4 linked regions of the Sus scrofa genome follow. The protein of the gene in region 1 purifies or fractionates together with the protein of each later gene. This does not show direct contact. Links are inferred from orthologs where the notes say so. Each region holds a gene or a part of one and is shown in the gene's direction. Other genes may lie near its edges.

Evidence for each region.
Region 2: the proteins of POLR3B (region 1) and POLR3H purify together in Homo sapiens (affinity purification with mass spectrometry; 8 studies listed by BioGRID and IntAct, with this or other methods). This does not show direct contact. The link is inferred for Sus scrofa from reciprocal best matches to the Homo sapiens genes POLR3B and POLR3H.
Region 3: the proteins of POLR3B (region 1) and POLR3F fractionate together in Homo sapiens (co-fractionation; 4 studies listed by BioGRID and IntAct, with this or other methods). This does not show direct contact. The link is inferred for Sus scrofa from reciprocal best matches to the Homo sapiens genes POLR3B and POLR3F.
Region 4: the proteins of POLR3B (region 1) and uncharacterized protein LOC106505238 purify together in Homo sapiens (affinity purification with mass spectrometry; 6 studies listed by BioGRID and IntAct, with this or other methods). This does not show direct contact. The link is inferred for Sus scrofa from reciprocal best matches to the Homo sapiens genes POLR3B and POLR1D.

The regions. Positions count from the first base shown.
Region 1 is NC_010447.5:13,843,217-13,846,782, reverse strand, and holds part of POLR3B (DNA-directed RNA polymerase III subunit RPC2), read left to right. Parts: intron 1-1,087; coding exon 1,088-1,246; intron 1,247-3,361; coding exon 3,362-3,479; intron 3,480-3,566. UniProt on the Homo sapiens protein: Catalytic core component of RNA polymerase III (Pol III), a DNA-dependent RNA polymerase which synthesizes small non-coding RNAs using the four ribonucleoside triphosphates as substrates.
Region 2 is NC_010447.5:6,998,240-7,002,524, forward strand, and holds the start of POLR3H (DNA-directed RNA polymerase III subunit RPC8), read left to right. Parts: upstream 1-1,450; 5' UTR 1,451-2,540; coding exon 2,541-2,651; intron 2,652-3,856; exon of another isoform or gene 3,857-4,285.
Region 3 is NC_010459.5:26,725,821-26,729,386, forward strand, and holds part of POLR3F (DNA-directed RNA polymerase III subunit RPC6), read left to right. Parts: intron 1-1,846; coding exon 1,847-1,914; intron 1,915-2,355; coding exon 2,356-2,376; intron 2,377-2,500; coding exon 2,501-2,568; intron 2,569-3,566. UniProt on the Homo sapiens protein: DNA-dependent RNA polymerase catalyzes the transcription of DNA into RNA using the four ribonucleoside triphosphates as substrates.
Region 4 is NC_010453.5:5,085,857-5,089,422, forward strand, and holds part of uncharacterized protein LOC106505238, read left to right. Parts: intron 1-3,393; coding exon 3,394-3,566.

The DNA.
Region 1 (3,566 bases):
CCTGATTGATTTTCTGAACTCACATTCTTAGATTTCTTGAAAGAGTTCTGCTTTTGGTGGAGAATCATAAGCAAAGGATTTTATAGCCATGCATCTATTTCTTCAGTAATAGCTGGTGTTTAATCCTGAGAACATTTTCCTATTTCAGTGAACTCTGACATGGCTCAGTATATCCTGGGGAGATTAGAGAGAGAATCCAGTTTAAAATAGCAGCTTGGCAAAAGGGGAAGAAAGAAAGAAAGAAATGCAGCCGTAGCATCTTGGGAAATGTGTGGAAGGTTTGGCAGCTTTTTGAGCAACTGATGAGTATTTTGTGGGATTCAGTGGTTGTTTAGACTGTTAGTTGGTCCCAGGACTTTTTCCTCATCCACGAGATAAATGTATTAAAAAATATAGTCAACGTAAACTCATCTTCAGGGCAGAGAGGAACTGTCTCCCATTCAAGTCATTTGATTGCTTCTTTTCATTCTCCTTCCTCTCTGGAAGAAAATTATTTTTTGTTCGTTTGTTTGTTTATTGTGTGGGACTTTCTCTGAATGCCAAAACGAGAAAAAGGAAAACTTTCGAGAGAAGGTTAGCAGAAGTTATGCACCCAGATGACTTGTGGGAAGGATGCTGCCTGATCATTGGACTTGGTCGGTCTCAACTCAGCCATGACTTTGCTGGGTGACCTTGGCCACTTAGTTTCTCTGTGCCGTACTCTTAGCACCTGTAAGGCAGAGGGGCTATGCCAGGGGATCTCTAAGGCCCTTTCTGATTTTCCCATGTCCTTGCTCTCTGTGCTCTCAAAGGCGAGGTCTATTCCACGTGGAAAAACGGCTGTGGAGATGGCAGTGTTTATAAATAAGGACAATAGGTAATAGGTTAACGGATAGGGGAGAAATCTTGAGCCAGTTCTTCAGGTTATCAAATTGTTATTTGGTTTGGCCAGTCTCAGATTGTCTAAATAGGGAGCACTTTTGGTGTGTTTATTTTGGGGGGAAGGAAGGTAGAGTGGGGTGAGTTATCGAATAACACAGATCTGTGCTCTCTCATAGTTTCATATTCTCACCTGGTGATTCTGATGCCCATTTTGGTTTCATCTTAGGCTTTGGGCGTTGCCTTGTATATAAAAATGCTAAATGTACATTGAAGCGATATACCAATCAGACTTTTGATAAAGTGATGGGGCCAGTGTTGGATGCTGCTACAAGAAAACCCATCTGGCGACATGAAATTTTAGATGCAGATGGTATTTGTTCTCCAGGTAAGGGTCTTTACATTTTTTTAATATACAGGGTTTTTTAAAATTATGAAGATTATTCAACAGTATTTTGAATATTTGGTATATAGGGCAGAAAAAAATAGCAGCTTATAAAACCACTGTCCTAATTCAAGCAGTGTGGTCATTTTTGATGAATTTCCTTCCGGTCTGTTTTTCTAGGCCTATGTTTTTATATAGCAGTAATTTATTCTAGTTATACTTTTCTAGTTATAATTTTGAATCACTTTAAGAAAATATTTAGAATAAGATCATGTCCCTGCATCTACACTGATATTTCATCATTTGTTCATTTAGCTTATAGACTAACTTTACAGTCTTTTTCCCCTAAAAAGTGTAACTCCGTTGTAGTTACAAATTTGTGATGAATCTTGGGTTTTCTTAATTACAAATTTTTTATTATTATTTTTTAAATTTTTATGTCCACATCCATGGCCTATGGAAGTTCCTGGGCTAGAGGTTGAGTCAGAGCTGCAGCTGCCAGCTTATGCCAAAGCCACAGCAATGTGGGATCCAAGCTGCATCTGAGACCTATACCACAGCTTGTGGCAAAACGGGATCCTTAACCCACTGAGCAAGGCCAGGAATAGAACTGGCATCCTCACGGACACTAGTTGGGTTCTTAACCCACTGAGTCACAACAGGAACTCCATGGCGAATCTTTTTGGTGCAACCCACAACTCCTGCCCTTGTGAGTCGATGTAGGCTAGTGTGGGAGGCGGACATTGATCAAAGGACCACGTCAAACATAAGTCAAGTTACAACCAGGAGCTCTGAGGCCATTTTATGGCAGGAGGATTTGACCTAAGCGGGAAGATCGGGGTTGCCGTCCACAGGAGGTGACTAAGAGCTGCAGGCTGAGTGGGATTAACTAATGATGAGGGAGGGGCTGCGTCTAAGCAGGAGACAGGGCTCTGCCTGGGTCCTGCAGCTTGACCCATCGCTGAAGGATCCTAAGGGAGGCCTCTGTGGCTAACGGAAGAGAGGGAGGTGGGGAAGGGAGGGAGAAGTAGGGTCCAGACGCAGTACTATTTTCACTATGTTCCTAAAATCCATGATACAATCAGATATGCATTTTGCAGTGATCATTCTGACTGCAGTGTGGAGAAAAGAGTAGAAGGAAACCAGAATAGACAGGGACCAACTGAGAGCTCTCGAGTCAGACCAGGCAACAGGAGCCATGGTGCAGTGGAGAGAAGGGCTGGCTTGGAGGGAGATGCACAGGGTCCTGCCACGGATGATGCCTGGGTGGTGGATGCTTCGGGGTGATGCTGCATCCACTGTGGGGCCCGAGCCATGTGGCACCTGGCTTCCCCCTCCTCTTGCTGCCTTTATTTCTTGGAGAATTTCTTCCACTCTCAACTTGCTTGCTGTGGCAGTGCTGCAGTAGTTGGTCTTTGAGCTTACCAAGAAAAGCAAAGGTCAGCATAGCTGGAAAATCAAAGAAATATTTGTATTTCCCCATTGCCCAAGTCAGATTGGTGGTGACTTATTACTGGTTGAAATAACCATTAAGTAGACCAAACCTGATCTAATATCCTAAAAGATATTTTATTTTATTTTTGCTTTTTAGGGCCGCAGTTGCGGCATATGGAGGTTCCCAGGCTAGGGGTCCAATTGGAGCTATAGCCACCGGCCTGTGCCACAGCCACAGCAACACGGGATCCGAGCCACGTCTGTTTACCTACACCACAGCTCACAGCAACACCAGATCCTTAGCCCACAGAGTGAGGCCAGGGAACGAACCAGCAACCTCATGGTTCCAGTCAGATTCATTTCCGCTGCGCCACGAAGGGAACTCTCTAAGAGATATTTTAAATTGCCACTGCTGACATGAATGTTCTCTCATTAATGTGGCCCCTCTAAATCAGTTTCTTAATTTTTTACACACTGTGATCTTAATCTATGACTTTCTCAAAAAGCTTGCAGAATTACAAAGAAGCCCTGCTGATGTCTAGTTCCCACTGCGTGGACATTTTTTTTTTCCTTCCATGTCTGGGTTTCGTGCACCAAGTCTAATCACATGGTTTGATGCCTTGGTAATCTTTGCATTCCACGCAGCTGACAGTGGTGTGTCGAACACCCTTCTCTCTCTCTCAGGTGAGAAAGTGGAGAACAAGCAAGTGCTTGTCAATAAGTCCATGCCCACAGTGACTCAGATCCCCTTGGAAGGAAGTAATGTTCCACAGCAGCCGCAGTACAAAGATGTGCCCATCACGTACGTATCGGCCGCGCCTTGGAAACAGGTAGAAAGAGTTTTTCAAAAGAAGGAATGGGAAAATTGGAGGTCAGCTCCTTGGGCTGA
Region 2 (4,285 bases), about 6.8 Mb from region 1:
TTGCTGCTGTGGCTCGGGTTCAATCCCTGGCCCAGGAACTTCCACATGCCACGGTGGGCATGGCCAAAGATAAAATAAACTAAACTATGGCGAATGAATGAAACTATCTGCAAAACAGAAAGAGGCTCACAGACACAGAGAACAGACTTGAGGTCGCCAAGGGGAAGGGGGCTGGGAAAGAGACGGAGCAGGAGGTTGGGGTTAGCAAATGTAAGCTATTATACATAGAATGGATAAACAACAGGGAGCTATATTCAATATCCTATGATAAACCATAGGAAAAGTATATTTTAAAAAGAATGTGTGTTTATAACTGAATCACTTTGCTGTGCAGCAGAAATTAACACAATATGGAAAATCAACTACACTGCAATGGGAGTTCCTGTTGTGGCACAGCGGAAACAAATCTAACTGGTAACCATGAGGTTGCCGGTTCGATCCCTGACCTCACTCAGTGGTTAAGGATCTGGCGTTGCCGTGAGCTGTGGTGTAGGCTGCAGACACGGCTCAGATTCTGCATTGTTGTGGTTGTGGCATAGGCCGGCAACTGTAGCTCCAATTAGATGCCTAGAATGGGTACTTCTATATGCCAGGGTTGTGGCCGTAAAAAGCAAACAAACAAACAAAAACTATACTGCAGTAAGAAATGACAAAACAGGAGTTCCCGTCGTGGTGCAGTGGTTAACGAATCCGACTAGGAACCATGAGGTTGCGGGTTCGGTCCCTGCCCTTGCTCAGTGGGTTAAGGGTCTGGCGTTGCCGTGAGCTGTGGTGTAGGTCGAAGACGTGGCTCGGATCCCGCGTTGCTGTGGCTCTGGTGTAGGCCGGTGGCTACAGCTCCGATTCAACCCCTAGCCTGGGAACCTCCATATGCCGCGGGCGCGGCCCAAGAAATAGCAAAAAGACAAAAAAAAAAAAAAAAAAGAAAGAAAAGAAATGACAAAACAAGACACTGCAGTGTAGAGTTCACTTGTAGGGCAGTGGGTTAAGGATCTGGCATTGTCACTGCAGTGGCTGGGATAGCTGCTGTGGCTTGGGTTCCATCTCTGACCCAGGGAACTTTCACATGCCACAGGCATGGCCAAAACCAAACAGACAAGGAACACCCCCCCCCCGCAGTGTATTTCCACGAAGGCTGTGTACTGTACAGATTTGTATGGGGCCCACTTCTACCACTTAGCAGCCCATGGCCTTAGACAAGGTATGGAATTCTTTTTTTTTTTTTTTTGTCTTTTTGCCATTTCTTGGGCCGCTCTCGCAGCATATGGAGGTTCCCAGGCTAGGGGTCTAATTGGAGCTGTAGCCGCCATCCTACACCACAGCCACAGCAACGCTGGATCCGAGCCGCATCTGCAACCTACACCACAGCTCACGGCAACGCCAGATCCTAAACCCACTGAGCAAGGCCAAGGATCGAACCCGCAATCTCATGGTTCCTAGTCGGATTCGTTAACCACTGCGCCACAACGGGAACTCCAAGGTATGAAATTCTTTTAGTCCAAGCCCATGTTAGCTATCACATGAAGATGAGTGAGACTGGAATGTGGTGAGACAGAACAAACCAGGGCTGGAGGAGTGGACAATGACAAGACCACGCAGGGCCTTGTGAGCTATGATAAAGATTTTGGACCTTATTGCTAATTCAAAAGTAAATCAGTAAGGGTTTTTTGGTTTTTGGTTGTTTTTTTTTTGTCCCAATTTATTATCCCTTTTCAATTGAGATGTAATCTGAATTACAAGTAAATGCAAAGATCTTAAGTCTTGAGGTCGACGAGTTTTGACAACTGTCTACACCTGTGTAACCACCGGCAAAAAGAAGATACAGAACATTTCTATCATCCTATAAAGGTCTCGCCTGCTCCTTTCCAGCCCAGTGTCCCCGATTCCAGAGTATTGAAGGGTCTAGGCATACTGTGTTTGCATTTGGAAGGGCCGGCTGCAGCGTCGAGGTAGGCCTGAGCCAGGAGAGTACTGCACAGGTCAAGCAGAGATGGCCCGGTGGCACAGAGGTCGCCTAGCAACCTGAAAGCGTTGCCTGGGATTGACGATTCCACGCAGGCGGAAGGGGTGGCCCCGTCCCGAGCAGACCGGTACGTAGCCCCGCCTCGCGACGGGGCGGACCGAAGCTTCTTATTGGTCGGTCTCCCGGAAGCTACCGGATTTGGACTATCGTCCGTAGTAGTGCTGCTGGCGTGGGTCCGCGGTGCGTGGCGGAGGCACGTGGTGCGTAGTGCGTGGTGTGTGTGGCTTGACTGGGCTGCGCGCCCCTCCCGCGCGACCAGGAGGTCCTCCCCGTGGAGCCTCAGCTTCCTCTGCTTGCAGTAGAGGAGCACGCCCCTTACGGAGATACCCTAGGCCCCGGCTTCCAGCTCCGTTGCCGACCTGGGGGGCTCCGGGACTGGGACCGACAGAGCGGGCTCCGGCATCCCCGCCGCCCCGTCAGCGACTGGGACCGACAGAGCGGGCCCCGGCATCCCCGCCGCCCCAGGTGTCTGTGCGTGACTGACACTCGCGTTCCCAGAGTCCCCCGCGCAGGCGGGATGTTTGTCCTGGTGGAGATGGTTGACACCGTGCGGATACCCCCGTGGCAGTTTGAGAGGAAGCTCAACGACTCTATTGCCGAGGAGCTGAACAAGAAATTGGCCAACAAGGTACTGACTGGGTCCATGGGGTCGCTGGCCGGCCTTGGCCGGAGAGGGCCCAGCGCTGCTTACTTGCCCGCTTTCGGCCTGTCGGTGCCAAGCCTCGGCCTTGGGCAAGTAGCCTAACGTCTCAGAGCTCGGTTTCTTCACCTGTGCATGGGATAGGGGTAATCCTTACCCCACAAGAATGTTGGAGGGAATCAAAAGAAAAACTGGGCTTGAAAAAAAGGCCGTCGTGGAGTTGCCGTCATGGCTTAGCGGAAACGAACCTGACTAGTATCCTTGAGGACACAAGTTCGATCCCTGGCCGCAGTGGGTTAAGGATCCAGCGTTGCTGTGAGCTGTGGTGTAGGTCGGAGACGCGGCTTGAATCTGACGTTGCTGTGGCTGTGGTGTAGGCTCCGATTTGACCCCTAGCCTGGGAACTTCCATATGCCGCGGGTGCAAAATAACCAAAAAGGGGGGGGGGGAAGGGGGAAGGCCGCTGCAAGTGGGACCCTTCCGAATTATTTTGCTTTTTTTTTTTTTGCTTTTTTAGGGCCTCATTCGCGGCATATGGAGGTTCCCAGCCTAGGCGTTGAATCAGCTACAGCTGCCGGATCTACGCCACAACCACAGCAACCAGATCCCAGCCGCCGTCTGCAACCTACACCACAACTGCAACGGTGTATTCTTAACCTGCTGAGCAAGGCCAGGGATCACACCTGCAACCTCATGGTTCCTAGTTGGATTCATTTCCGCTGCGCCACGATGGGAACTCCTTACTTTGCAGTTTGGGGCAGGTCATTTACCCCATTTGGGCTTCAGTTTCCATATGTAAAGTGGAAATAATAATTGCTGTCCAACCATCCATTGTTTCTGGGAAGGTGGATGGTAGTTTAAAGTTGGCTGTCACGTTTATTTCTGCAAAAGAACGCTTGTGCACCTTTTATGTGCCAGGCCTGCATGCCTTAGTGCCAAGTCGTCAGAGGCCTTCCCACTGCCTTTTCTTTTCTTTTTTTGCATTTTAGGGCCACACCCATGGCATATGGAAGTTCCCAGGCTAGGGGTTGAATCAGAGCTGCAGCTGCCAGCCTACACAGCCACAGCAACAAGGGATCCGAGCCATGTCTGGGACCTACACCACAGCTCACAGCAACACCGGATCCTTAACCCTCTGAGTGAGGCCAGGGATCAAACCCAAGTCCTCATGGTTACTAGTCGGGTTCGTCAGCACTGAGCCGCAGCAGTAACTCCCTCTCATTTTTTTTTTTGCTGGCCCGGCCCTCGGCGTGCTGAAGTTGGCAGGCCAGGGATTGAACCTGTGCCACAGTAGTGACAATTCCAGGTCCTTAGCCCCTGAGGTAGTAGGGAATTCCTGTTTAGTTGATTTCTGTTTTTCTCTTTCCCTCTCCATGAGAGCATGAACTCTTGTCTTCTTCCCCTCTGTCCCCCATATTTACGTAAGTGTTTATTGAACGAATAAAAGACAAGCTTTTGCTCTGTAGTCTCGTGGGAAAAGCAGATGTGAGCAAGCGATTCCCACAGTTGAGTGTCTTTAGACAAATTGAGCTAAATGCTATGAAAACAGGTGTTCGCGAACCCATGGAATGACAGAATTTCACCTGCAGTGAGGGAGACAAGAGGCTTTATTAGGAAGGTGA
Region 3 (3,566 bases), on another chromosome or scaffold:
AAGTATTAGCAAACTGAGTTCAACAATACACAGAAAGGATCATACAGCATGATCAAATGGGATTTATTCTAAGGATGTGAAAATATTCAGTATGCACAAATAAATCAGTGTAATACATTAACAAAAGGAAGGCTAAAAATCATGTGACACTGTCAGTATGATCATGAAAAAGCATTTGACAAAATTGAACATCCATTCATAATAAAAAAAAAAAGCCTCATTGAAGTTGTTATAGAGGGAACGTGTTTTAACATAATAAAAGCCAGGGAGTTCCTTTCGTGGCTCAGTGGTAAACGAACCCTACTAAGATCCCTGAGGACATGGGTTCAATCCCTTACCTCACTCAATGGGGTTAAAGATCCAGCATTGCTGTGAGCTGTGGTGTAGGTCCCAGACAAGTCTCAGATCCCGAGTTGCTGTGGCTGTGGCGTAGGCTGGCAGCTGTAGCTCCGATTTGACCCCTAGCCTGGGAACTTCGATATGCCATGGGTGTGGCCCTAAAAAGCAAAAAACAAAAACAAAACAAAACAAAACAAAAAAAACTTTTAGAACTGAGAGTTCCCTTGTGCCTCAGTGGGTTAAAGTTCTTGTGTTGTCATTGCTGTGGCACAGGTTCAGTCTCTGGCCTAGGAACCTCCCTGTGCTGCAGGTGCATTCAAAAAAACCCTAAACTATTAGAACTAATAAATGAATTCAGTAAAGTCACAGGATCAAGATTAATATCTGGACATCTATTGCTTTTCTATACACTGATAATGAACTATCAAAAAGAGGAAACAAGAAAATCTCACTTAAAAATCACATAAAAAGAATAAAATACTTAGGAATAAACTTAACCAAGGAGGTGAAAGACCTAACTCTGAAAACTGTAAAACACTGATGAAGGAAATGGAAGATACTACAAAGAAATGGAAAGATGTCCCATGTTCATGGACTAGATATAATTAAAATATCCCTGTTACTCAAAGCAGTCTGAAGATTTAATGCAGTTCACATCAAAAATATCCAGGACAGTTTTCATGGAGCCTTCAGATTGGCCTTTGTGGTTCAATTTTTCCACTTCTGGGGCCGGAGTGGGAGGAAAGTATTGCTGTTAAGCCATTTATGTAAACCTGATTCCAGGTCATGGGTCTGCTTGGCCTTAACCCATGGAAACGGGGCTTCTCTTAGCCATACTTCCCTGAACTGCTGACAGCCCAGTGGTCAGCCATCTGGGTTCTTCCAAGTTCAGAACCAGAGAAATGCAGAAGCATGACAGACATGCTTTATTTTACTTTTGACTTGTATAAAAACAAAACTACTGCAAGCCTTTTATTCACTGGTCGACTTTTCCACCTAATTTTCATGTAACATTTCAGAAATCACACACATCAGTAAATGTTACTATTAACTTTGTAAATTTTACTTCATCACTTTCATAGACTATTTTTGCATGTTTAGCTTTTATTTGAACATTTTAGGTAAATTATTGTATTTATATTTGATACACTTAACTGAATTTGCTTGAATATGGATTTTTATTTGTTATTCTGACTTTTGTTTAAAATTCTTTAAAGCATTGATCATATAACCAAGCCAGGATCAAGCATGTAGAAAATTATTAGGTATTAATGTTTTGGGAAATGATGAGATAAAGAGCTAAGTTCTTAAAAATATATCACATGTGATACGTAGGAAGAAGCTTAAGTCTCAAGTGAGAAACTGACAAATAACTATGGGAGGTAGGATATTTTAATCCATATAAACTATTGAAGAATATATTAATGTGTTTATCATTGGATTTGATCTATCTCCCAAATAACTCACTGCTATTTTCTTTTAAAAACAAACAAACAAACAACTTTAGGGTCAGTTGGATCTCTTAAGAAGCAATACAGGCCTTCTGTATAGAATAAAGGACTCTCAGAATGCTGGGTAAGCACCTAATTTTTTATTTTAAGAAAATTTTAATATCATGAAAGGAGTATAAATCTGGGGGGTGGGGGAGCCAGTGCAGCATAAAGTAAAGCATAATGTAAATCTGTCCTACATAATCATCTCACCTCCCATCATGAGTTCCATTTCCCAGAGATAACTGCTCTTATTAATATAGTGGTATATATCTTTCTTATAGGTATATGTAAATACATATAGATGATTATATATTTATATTCCATATATTTATATATAATCTCTTATAGGTATATGTAAATACATATAGACGATTATATATTTATATTCCATATATTTATATATAATCTCTTTTCTTTTTTTTTTTTTTTTAAACAAAAATTGGATCATGCTATCCATACTGTTTTGCAACTTGTTTTTTTCACTTACTATATCATGGACATCTTTTCATTCTGGTACATACAGCCCTGTCTCATTCTTTTTAAGGTAAGCCCTTCTTTTGGTAAATCAGTAAATGTGATGACCTTGTCTGCTGATTCATTTAGTTGTGTAGATTATTAGATTATCCTGTACCTCTTTGCCTTTTTAATTCTACTTTATTCCCCTGCAGTAAAATGAAAGGATCAGATAATCAAGAGAAACTAGTATATCAAATCATAGAGGATGCGGGAAATAAAGGTAAGCATGTGCAGGAACAAGCAGAAAAAAACCATCGTCTTTAGGACCAGATATAGGAACTGAGATCCTGGCTTCCCAGGGTATGGATCAGTCAGGAGAGTATGCAGCCATTTGTGTTAAAAGGGGAAAAAAATGTAAAAAATGTGTGTGTGTGTGTGTAATGTACATAGGCTTGAAGGACACTCAGGAGTGATGCTTTTGTTGCCTGAAGGGAGACAGGGACCAGATGGCTGTGGGTAGGGATGGAAAGAAATGTCCAAATTCTGAATCATGTGAATGTATTATTCATTCAAAATAAATAAATTAAAACTTAAAACTTAAGGGCTTTTTTGTTTGTTTGTTTTAGTTGTACAATGATCATTACAACCCAATTTTATAGCATTTCTGTCCCAAACCCTCAGTGCAAACTTAAGGGTTTTTTTTTTTAATATTCACTTTCTTTTTTTTTTTTTTTTTTTTTTTGTCTTTTTAGGGCCGCAGCATCAGCATATGGAGGTTCCCAGACTAGGGGTCTAATTGGAGCTGTTGTTGCTGGCCTACGCCACAGCCACAGCAACTCAGGATCCAAGACTCATCTGTGATCTACGCCACAGCTCACGGCAATGTGGGATCCTTAACCCCTGAGTGAGGCCAGGGATCAAACCCGCAACCTCATGGTTCCTAGTTGGATTTGTTTCCGATGCGCCACAACGGGAACTCCAGTATTCACTTTCTAAATTTTAGAAACCTTTATTTCTTCCTTTCCTCTGTAAATTGTGGACAATAACATCTCTGGTTTTTGCACAAACCAGAGGATGCCTAGTGCAGTATGGCAGTGTCTGATGTAGTTTCTTCAACAGCTATTTAGTTCCTTTTCTATTGCCCTTGAAGACTATAGTAGCCCTTGCTAATATTATAATTTAAGATCTACTTGAGTCACCGATATTAGCTTCAACAATTATGATGTAACCTGAAATCATGTGATTTTTATATATGTTAGAAAGTTAAATTAACATTTT
Region 4 (3,566 bases), on another chromosome or scaffold:
CCAGGCACTGTGCAAGGCGCTTCAGACACCATCTCCTTAAATCCTCGCAACAGGGAGGCGCTTCTGTTACTTCTGTTTACAAAGAGAAAACTGATGTAACCTTCCCTTGGCCCCAAGCTAATTCGGCTGTGGGAGTAGGACACGTTTTACTGAGGCTAAAGGGCTACACTTTACCAGGTGCTTGTCAGGCATCGGGCATTGTCCTGAGCGCATGCCCTCACCCTCTGAGCTGCATCCAAGCCTCCCAAACCGTCTCCATTATTATCCACTATTAAAAGATGAGAGGCAACGGAAGATGATTTACCAGGCCCAGGGCTCGGTCTGGTGGATCGCATGACTCCAGAGCACGTGGATAAACTGTGTTGCACGGGGTTTGCAGCAATCCACTGGCTGGCGGTGAGTTGATGGCCACATTAAAGGCCTGAGCCGGCCCTGCCAGTGAGCTCCTCAGCCTCACGCTCCGTCTCTTAATGCCCGAGCGTGGAGCCATTTACTACATATGCCCCTTCAGTCGCCCGCAACTGCCCCCCCATTTATTAATGCGTGTGGGCGGGCACTTTTCTTCATCTCTAAGATGCGTCCTGCACCAACATGCTTGGAAAGAGTCGCTTTCATACCCCACTCCAAGAAAACCGAGTTCTCGCCAAGCCATCCTCCACGTTTCACCTTGAATAGAACCCCAGGCACAGCCAGCATTAAAAGTTGCACCTCTGATGTTTTGTTTGTTTTTTTTCTCCCAACACTGGCATCTCTGATGTTAAAGAGATGTCAAAGCCAGTTTTCTTGTGGACTTTCTTCTAGAAAACCATCTCATTCCAGAATAGCTCTTTTGGAGCTCCCATCATGGCTCAGCAGAAACAAATCTGACTAGAGGGAAAAGGACGTGGGGTGTGGTGGATGCAGCCCGACGTCAGGTGGTGGCGGCCCTGGGGGTTTGGTTTGCTTTCCTTTTCCGGCTGGAGTTTAAAACCACAGTGAATGAGATGAGGAGCAAAGAAGAAAGGCAACAGCAAAGAGAAAACGCTTCTGCAAGGACAGGACACACACTGTTGGGCTCCCTGCAGCCCCCAGGGCTTTGCTTGTCTTCCAGGAAAGTACACTGGCTTGATGCTGGAGATGGGGGAGTTCCCATCATGGCTCAGTGGAAATGAATCTGACGAGCATCCATGAGGACACAGGTTTGATCCCTGGCCTTGCTCAGCGGGTTAAGGATCTGGCGTTGCTGTGGCTGTGCTGTAGGCCAGCAGCTACAGCTCCGACTAGACCCCTAGCCTGGGAACCTCCATATGCCACAGGTGTGGCCCTAAAAAGACCAAAAAAAAAAAAAAAAAAGAATAGCTCTTTTGGTGCCCATGTTGAGTCGATGGGTTACACATGCAGCAGGAAGCCAGGACACCTCCTCTGACACATGGCCCCCTCTCAGCACGAAGCCTGCAGTTTTCCAGCTGAAGAAGACCGCACTCCATCTCAGGCGCACACGTGGTATTAAAGATGGCCTCATGTGGAAGGTGGTGAAACACGTCCAATTCACCAGCAGTTTCCAAAGGTTTTAAGATCCTGGGTTATTGCACCGCCTGGCAATAATCCCCTTCCTTACTCATTTATTCCAGAGAGGAGCTGAGCAGTTTTTCCAGCCCTGATGAGCCACTGCACTGAAAACGCCCCACGGTTCTTCTGAAGCCGGCTGGCTTTCCCCGGCTGGCCCGCCACGCCCAGGGGAGATGGTGGTCCTGCAGGAAGCCTGAGCCAGAGCTGGCAGAGAGGGCCGCTCGGCTTTTCCTGCTCTTTTGTTCCACAATGAAGGGCAGCCTCCTCCCGCAGGCTACTGAGGTTGTGTTTGCTATAACACACCAGTGCGTCCTGCTCTCTTGATTTTTTGCTAAGTTTGCAATGCGGTGGCTCAAGGATCGTCACCCCATCGATGCCTGAATTCAGTGATAACCTAACCTGGTCACCGAGGGAAGAGGCTGGCTGGCCCTCCTAACTGAACAGAGGGTCCTAGGGCTGTACCTCTGCAGGGCACACCTGGCTATGCCTTGTATGCCTGGCCATGCCTGAGGCAGCATCAAGCCAGTGTACTTTTCTGGAAGACAAGTGAAGCCCTCGGGGCTGCAGGGAGTCCAACAGTGTGTGTCCTGTCCTTGCAGAAGCATTTTCTCTGCTCTTTTGCTGTTGCCTTTCTTCTTTGCTCCTACCTCATTCATTGTGGCTTTTAAACTCCAGCCGGAAAAGGAAAGCAAACCAAAGCCCCAGGGCCGCCACCACCAGACATCGGGCTTCGACCTCCGAGCCCCACGCCTGCCACGCCTGATACCTGCTGGGTGCGAGACAGCTTATTTGCAGCAGGAGACATTTTCCTGTCTTTCTCCTCCTCCTTTTCCTTCCAGATTCAGTGCCATTCTGGTTGCCTGAGGGGGCCTGACCTCGGAACACGGGGCACTAGGCTGGTGAGCAGTTTGGTCTCTCCCCCACGAGGGCAGGCCAGAAAGTCACTGCAGTGCGTGCCCGTGTTACGTGGGATTCGCCTTGAATCGCAGTTTGATAGAGGCATGGAGATCACGGACGCCTACATTCACTTTTGTTCAACACCAGCCTCCCTGAGTAACACCATCTGCAGGATCAGCATCCTCCTAAAATAGCCCTGCGTACAGGCAGATGGCTCAAGGCCAAGAGAAATACTCAGGTTTTATTTGTCTGGGGTTGTCTTTCCTAAAATGAAAGATTTACTACACCTGAAAAATCAAACATCCTGAGTGTGCAAGCAGAGCAAAGCATGTAAACTATGCTGTGCCTGGTTGCACCCTTCCTTCCGGGTGAACTTGAATCATGACACCACTGAAACGGAGGCAGCACAGAACCTCCCTCGGGGTGGACGTGGGAAAAGGCTCGCTGACAAGGCAAACTCAACACACAGTCTCAGAGCAGAAAGTGTGAGCCTTTCAGAGGGTGAATGAGGTTACTGCAGCCTCATGGAGTCTTTAGACAGCTTCTGTTTCTACGGTAGCTCGTTTCCTCCGGGAGGGACTTATTTTTGCTCTTTGATATTTAAAAACAAGCCGCCACAAAATTTAACTCGAAATGCGGATGACGGTCAAATCAGGGACTTGGGGTGTAAGGAGACAGTGTTAAACGACTCAGGCAGTCGGCGCTGTGGTCAGTACCTGTACACACCCTCTGGTAGGGTCGGGGCTCGTCGCCTCTGAAGTCTTGGGAGAAGGGCCCGCGGGTCTCCGCAGGCTCTCCTTGCCCTGTACTCGGAGTTTACACTAGGTGGCACGCAAGGGAAGCTCACAAGTCGGGAAACTTGCTTCTGTGGAAGCCGCTTTCTTTGCTGCTCCGTGGGCTCAGCTCTGGAGTCAGTGTTTGATGTGTGCCTGTCCTGTTTCCCCCCAGGATGAAGTGTCCTCTTGCTGGTACCAATAAGAGATTTCTCATTAACACAATTAAGAACACTCTGCCGTCCCACAAGGAGCAAGACCATGAACCCAAAGAGGCCAGTGCGGAGCCTGCGAAAAGCCAGAGCCAGAAGGAGGAAGGCCGGCAGAAGCACAGACCGCATCCGTACA